2 linked regions of the Coturnix japonica genome follow. The main gene of each other region encodes a partner of the protein of the gene in region 2 in a complex. Links are inferred from orthologs where the notes say so. Each region holds a gene or a part of one and is shown on either strand. Other genes may lie near its edges.

What was found.
Region 1: NUP93 (region 2) and CETN3 share a complex: the UniProt entries of both Homo sapiens proteins name them as parts of the nuclear pore complex. The link is inferred for Coturnix japonica from reciprocal best matches to the Homo sapiens genes NUP93 and CETN3.

What each region holds. Positions count from the first base shown.
Region 1 is NC_029547.1:53,322,346-53,325,998, reverse strand, and holds part of CETN3 (centrin-3), read right to left. Parts: intron 2,960-3,653; coding exon 2,845-2,959; intron 1-2,844. UniProt on the Homo sapiens protein: Plays a fundamental role in microtubule-organizing center structure and function. As a component of the TREX-2 complex, involved in the export of mRNAs to the cytoplasm through the nuclear pores.
Region 2 is NC_029526.1:563,162-566,814, forward strand, and holds part of NUP93 (nuclear pore complex protein Nup93), read left to right. Parts: intron 1-936; 5' UTR 937-971; coding exon 972-1,150; intron 1,151-1,688; coding exon 1,689-1,806; intron 1,807-3,653. UniProt on the Homo sapiens protein: Plays a role in the nuclear pore complex (NPC) assembly and/or maintenance. May anchor nucleoporins, but not NUP153 and TPR, to the NPC. During renal development, regulates podocyte migration and proliferation through SMAD4 signaling.

The DNA.
Region 1 (3,653 bases), on a different chromosome or scaffold from region 2:
TAAAATAAAAAAAACCATCAGCTCTCACAGAACCAGGCACTTGAATTTGTTGATTTTAAATATTATGATCTGGATAGAATTTTGACTTTCTGAGAACACTGAAACAGCACGAAGTAATTAAAAACATTCTCATGTAATTTCTCTTTTAGATACAAAATCACACTAACAAAAAACCAACAAAATCAAAGCTTGAGGTTTATGAAAATAATGCAACTATACACAGTGAAATGTTAATTCTGAAGGGATTTGTTACTGTTGGTTATTCCTTTTATTGCATCCATTTGCTAGTTGCTGTGACAGAAAAGACAGCCAAACTACAAAAATGTTTTTTCGGTGATTAATTCAGACACTTCCGGAATCAGATGCAAATATCTTCATATTTATGTACCTGCTAGTTTCATGTTACAGGACATGGTATTTATGACTTTTATCAAACCATTAAAAACACATCATCCTTGTTTGTGCAAAGACAAACTTACATCTGCTACTGTTTGCAGATGGAATGCCTCCTCCAGCTTAGCAAACTTGAAAGCAAAATATCAGATCCAATCTCATGTAAGCTCATAAAGCAATAAGGATTTTGTTTTCACTTTCATATTTATATGTATTTATGTATTTTATATATAATGTAGATTGAAATATATACAAAAATCACTCATATTTATATTTAAATATTTTCATTGAAAACAACTATGACGTGTGACAGTAGTAAATTTAAGAAACTCTACATTTATGGCAGTAAGGCATAAAAGGGAATAAAGGCAACATCAGCTAACAAAAAACCACTGCCTCTAAGTGCCATAGATAAAATGATTGTACAAAACAAGAGGAGATGCAACTATGCACATTTTAGATGGTCAGCTCTGATATTTAAACCACAGATAATCATGCAAAACTGACAACTAAACAATTGTTAAACTACATTCAGCCAGCTCATCATAACTGTTTTTATAACCTATTTTCTCTAATCTTTCTGCTACAAGCTATATACAGTTTAATTCTGTGTCAAGGGCATACTTGTCATAGCCATGCTCAGACCTCAGATTCAAAGTTTTTTGATTGATTAAAACTGCCAACCAACTATTTGCTGTTCTTTCTACATGAATCTTCCTAGCTTCTCACAGCACTTATTGTCTATATTGATAAATAGGACAATAAAAAGCTGACTCAGGACACAACATCAGGAGGGTGAAACCTTGGGCCATTTTAGGAATTATTGGATGAATTCCCCAGGAAACGTCCTAAGGGACATCAGAATGGAGAAGAGATGGAAGATCTTCAAGGACAGCTTTCTGAGAGAACATGGGGCCTCCGTCCCGCAGCATAAGAAACCAAGTAGGGGAGGCAGGAAATCAATATGGCTGACCAAGTACCTGCTGGTCAAACTCAGGCAGTGAAGTAGGGATGGATGGCCTGGGAAGAATGAAGGAATGCAGTTCAGACATGGGGAAATAAGATCAGGAAAGCCAAAGCACAGATGGAACTGAACTTGGAAAGGGATGTGAAAAATAACAAAAAAAGAATCTTTAGGTACATTGGTCAGAAGAGAGTGGCCAAAAAGGGCATACTCCCTCTGACAAATGAAAAGGTAGAACTGGCTTCAGCAGACATGGAGAAGGCTGAAGTACTCAGTGAATTTTTTTGCCTCAATTTTCACTGGCAGTCAGGCTTCCCACACCTCTCATGTTCCTGAATCTGTAGGCCGGAGTCAGAGGAACAAAATTTGCTCCCACTGGAAGAGCTGAGCAAATCTAAGATCACCTTGTAAGGCTGACTGAGTGCCTGTCTATGGGGCAGAGCATGTATCACAGAATCACCTGGGTTGAAAGGGACCTCAAGGATCATGAAGCTCCAACCCTCCTGCCTGGCAGGGCCACTAAACTTCCACGTTTACTAGATCAGGTTGCCCAGGGCCCCATCCAACCTGGTCTTGAACATCTCCAGAGATGGGGCACCCACAACCTCCTCAGGCACCCTGTTCCAGGACCTCACCACTCTCCTAGTAAAGAACTTCCAAACTAAATCTTCCCTCTTTCAAATTAAAACCATTTCCCCTTGTCCTGCTATCATCGTCCCTTTCAAAGAGTTTACTCCCGCTCCTGATTACAGATACCCTTCAGGTACTGAAAGGCTGCAATGAGGCCACCCCACAGCCTTCTTTTCTCCAGGCTGAACAAACCCAACTCCCTCAGCCTGTCTTCGCAGGGGAGGTGCTCCAGCCCCCTGATCACCTTCGTGGCCCTCCTCTGGACCCTTTCCAACAGCTCTCTCTGTCTTTTTTGTACTAAGGGCTCCATACCTCATGTAGAAGGTCTGTGAGACACAAAACCTTTAGATGAAAGAAACTGTTAATGAAATTCACTGTTTTAACCAGCAGCTGAAAATCCTTGATGTACAATATTTAACATCTGCTTCAGTTTCTCTCATCTTTGTTAGATTACAGAAAAATCTGTATTCAGTTTACAGTTTGTCAGTTTATATACTCCTTCCTATGAAATTCAGTGCCAACTACTCTTTCCAAAGCAGAAGGGAGAATACTAAAAAAGACAAAGAAATATAAACACAAGAATATCTATATTTCAAATCAGTGCTTATTCCTTTGCATAAATTTTTTTCCTTTTATATTGCTGTAATCCTTTATCTCCACGTATATACAAAGAATTATTTTCCTCCACTATGCAAGTTTATACAGAAAAATATAACATTATATCTCCCATCTCTCTTTCTTAATAGCACTAGCTAACTACAAAAACACACAAAGTACTCCTGGTCAAACTGCAGTCACTATTGTAAGCTAAGTTTCTCTGAAGGTAGATTTCTAAAGTTATAAAATCAAATACATACCAACTTCATTAAAGTCTTCAAATGTGATCTTGCCTGTTGCTTCTCGATCGTAATCTTTAAGTATTTTCAGTACATCAGCTTTTTTCACATCAAAACCCAAGGCTCTCATTGCCACCTTTTGGAATACAAAGAAAGTGCAATCAGATATTAATATTAAAATAGAGCTTTATGAGAGATTTGTTCTTACTTTTAATAAGAACATCACTGCATAGGACAGAGTGTGCACATCAGTGGGACTGCAACAACAATAAATAAAAATTAAAATACCAAAAATGCTTTGTATAAAAAAAAACAAACATGAAATCACCCAAAACAGGCACTGCTAAGTAGAACATCATATTACAGTGTAAAAAGAGCCTTCAGTTTTCCAATACTTTAAAAAGTGCATCATATGCTTTTTAGGAGTAGATTTTTTTTCTAACTTTCAAAAGCATTCTGAGTACTGTCCCCTTTTCAAAGATCAAATTGAAAATCCTTCTTTAAATTACTCACAGTAAACACTGGACAAGTCATCTTTCCAGGGACTTAATTTATCACTTTCCCACTTGAAACTATATAACTACATAAATCATTTTTCCCTTAGATTAGGAATTGATACTTAGTTTCCACATTTCAATGGAGATGGCAGCTTCTCAGCACATGCTACTTCGAATGCACTGAAATACAGGAGCTTATTTTAAACTACAAATAGAAAGCCCCAATATCTCTATTCAACATAGCCATTTCATATCTACCCTACAGGCTGATGTTGCAGGAGGAGGTATTTCTTTATACATTTCAGTTCTTCCATTGTGTTATCTTCAGGGCCA
Region 2 (3,653 bases):
TGTGTCCGAGTGAATCACCACGTAGTGCTTAGAAGTCACTTCTTGTCCAGGCACAGAACAGTGCTCTTGCCTCTTGAAGTTGTACTTAGGGACGGTGGAATACCAGGAATATGAAATAGTACTGTTAAAATTGCTTTAGTGTAGTTCAAAGGGGAAACCAAGAGATACTTTTGAATTTACAGGTGAGTTCTGGTTTGTAAACATGCACCGTTTTCTTTTAGATTCAAGGGCTCACTTGAACCGGTTCCTCTTGATTTTATTTTTAAGTTAAAGAGCCAGAGTTGGTGCTTGGGACCTAGTTGGGGCATGTGTATCCCCATATGTGTATATGTACCACAAATCTTCTTTTATTTTATATAAAAGTATATCATAGAATTATAGAATCACAAAATTGGAAAGGACATATAAGATCATCTAGTCCAACCGTCCTCCCTTTAGCATATCTACATAACACCACTAAACCATATCTCCTAGCTCCTTATATGTACGTATATATAAAAATAGATGTATATGCAAATGCTTTATAGCTGAATTAACACAAAAACTTTCACATGGATTTCTTCACTTCCTGTTCTTCCCCTTTTGAACTGTCACATAGTCACATGGTACCTGCATTGCTTTTTTGACAGACCATAGATCTGCATTCAGAATGTCATCCTGCTAGGCAAAGTGCTCTGAGAGCACCTGAAAGTATCTCCTTGATGTTTAGGTGTTTCTACCCATCCTCCCCAAGGGGACTTAGGAATGGTGGAATATCAGGAATACAAAACTATACTGTTTAAATGCTTTGTTATAGTTGATGCTGCCTGGGGAGGACTGATGGAACAGTGTTCTATTCTAGAGGAGCAGCTCTTGCTGGTCTCTCTGAGTGCTTGTAGGTGTAGAAGCTGTTTATAGCTGAAGAATTTTCTCAATTTTTTTTATTTTTCTCTGAAGGCTTCTGAGCATCGTGGATAAAGACTGCAGCAGAAATGGACACTGAAGGCTTTGAAGAGCTTCTCCAGCAGGCAGAACAGCTTGCAGCTGAGACTGAGGGCATCTCTGAGCTCCCTCATGTGGAACGCAGCCTGCCGGAGATCCAGCAGGTTGGGGAGCGCCTGCGTTCCTGCACCCTGACCCGCACGTCCCAGGAGACTGCAGATGTTAAGGCGTAAGTACTGAGCACCGGCGCTGGAGATGGAATGCAGAGGGTACAGGCTGTCTGTAGGTTTGGTTTCTAATGTGTGGGGAGCCTTGCCAGGAGAATGTACCCAGGAGAAACAGAATTTCTGCAAAGCTGTTTTCTTGCCCACTCCTTCTTGCTTACAAAAGGAAAAAAAAAGAATAGTAACAGAAGGTTTTAACTGAGAAGCTACCATTCCCGGCTACCAAAGCCAAAAAGTGCAGTACTTTGTTCTGGCTGCTGCTGAAGACAATTAGCAACATGCTATAGAATTTTTCTATCAGGCAGGATTTGGCAGATGTGCAGTACTGCAGTGGAACAGCAGGAAGTGTTTGATGAGGCTGAGGTTGTTAGATACACACATATAGTTCAGGGTTTGGTTTTGCACATCTTTCATAGTAACTGGAAATTTTGTACGTGACTAGCTGCTGATCTAAATATCAGCAGCACGCTGGGGTTACAGTTCTTACTAGTAGCCCTTTCTGTTCTGTGCTGATCTCATATACGTACAATTTCTTCCTTACAGGTCTGTTCTTCTTGGGTCCAGAGGGCTTGATATATCTCATACCTCTCAGCGGTTAGAGAGTCTAAGTGCAGCCACTACATTTGAGCCTCTTGAACCTGTGAAGGACACTGACATCCAGGTAGGTGCAATTCTGATGAGGAAATCAGACTCCCCTTGTAACTGCTATTCCTTTGCTGTGATTCAAAGCACTTCTGAGGCTCCTGTGGAATTAGTTTTGCTCTGAGGGTACTGTGGAAATAGTCTTGCCTTGAGTTCAGTCCACTGGATACAGGTAGTACAGAGGAGGAACGCTTCTTTCAGTGAAGAAAAAAGTTAGCTGTTAGAAGCACCACTGAGCAGCAACTCTGCAGAACCATTTTGAATTCCAGACTTTCATTGAAGTCAGTAGAAACAAGGCACTTACAGCCTTTGCAGAGGCTTAAGTAAGCTACAAGTGATTTGCTGAGGAGAGCATGGTGAGGTTCTCTGCTTCAGGTGATTGTATGGGCTCACGTAACACACATGAGTGTGAAACGTTTTGTCCCTGCTTATTTTGGCAGCTAACAGCTGTGAGATTTCCTTTCTGCTGCTTTCCATCATCCTTTCCTTTGCCTGGGGATGTTTGCAGTCACATCTCGAGCTGTCTGGCTGATGTTGACAATGGTTTGTTGTCTGGAAATACTTGCTTAGAATTTGGACAAGTCTCTGTACTTGTCTATAAGTTCTGATACACGGTTGTCGACAGCAGGATTTGTCCTTCCTGAGTGGTTTTTGGTAACTTCCTGTCAGTGACGTACAAGGGCCTTTGTGCTGTACGTTACCCTTCGTTTAGTTCTGTCAGCCAGGTAGGTCTTAAAGTTATTTGATGCTTTTGATAGTACAAAAGCTTCCTATGTCACTTTTTCTTGTGGTTATTCTGGGATAAGTTTTCATTCTCCTTAACTAATTGCTTTCCTCAGGCTCCTTTGGATTCACTGTGTTTATTTGGGGTCAGATACAACTGTCTCTGTGCTGCGTGGAACACTTTTTCTGTAGTTTCTTCCAATGGAGAGCAGTGTGCAGGGTGATACAAGGAGGGGGTCTGCTCCAGGGTTTGACTGTTCCTCTGCTGTTACTCAGTATTTACACAGACATACTGTCAGGTTTTAGTTCTGGGGGTTGAGAGGTTAGTGTCTGCAGCTGGCACTAACTCTACCACTTCTAGTTTTTTAATCAACAAAAATAAGCTTCGCTCACAGTTTATATCATAGATTGAACTGCTTTATCTTTGTTGTATTTTATGTTTTCTCGATGCTCAACGTTTATACTTGCAGGCTGGTATGGTTTGCAGCAAGTCTCTTCAGCTTTAAATCCTGTCAGAAGCTTGCTTATATCACCTCTAGACCCATCAGTGCTTAAGCTGCTGGTGGATGTGTATGTCCCTCAAGCTCAAATTTGTGCAATTATTGTTATCCCTTCATAGGTACTTCACAGCATCATTTCGTTCTGAGGCTGAAACTTCTTTTTTCAGGTAAAACCTGAAGCTGCAAATGCACTCTTCCTTCCTGTAAAGCTACAGTGTGACTGTGCTGGTATTTGTGTGTAGGCTTTGCTGGTAACTGCACTTGAGCAACGGTTACAAGTATTAAATATGTATTGTATGAATTTTACGTTGCTACTGACTGAAATTCTATCAAAGCTCCTGGAGCATGAAAATGCTCTTTGGACTTCCTGCCACGCTCTCCCACGTCATGGTAATTGCATCCATGGTAATAGCAGAGAAAGAAGAACTTGCTGATTTCCCTGACAGTCTGCTTGAGCTTCTCCATCGTTCTTGCTGAAAGTATTTACTTACTGACTCTGTTCCTTCTCATATTGCCGTCTATTCTAGCAGCCCGTATGTGGGCAGCATTGAGAGATTTGCTGGAATATCAGCACTGCAGAAGGAGAATTCCAGGAAATACCTTGCTGCTTCTTGAGAGAGTAAGATACAGCATGAAAGTCAGA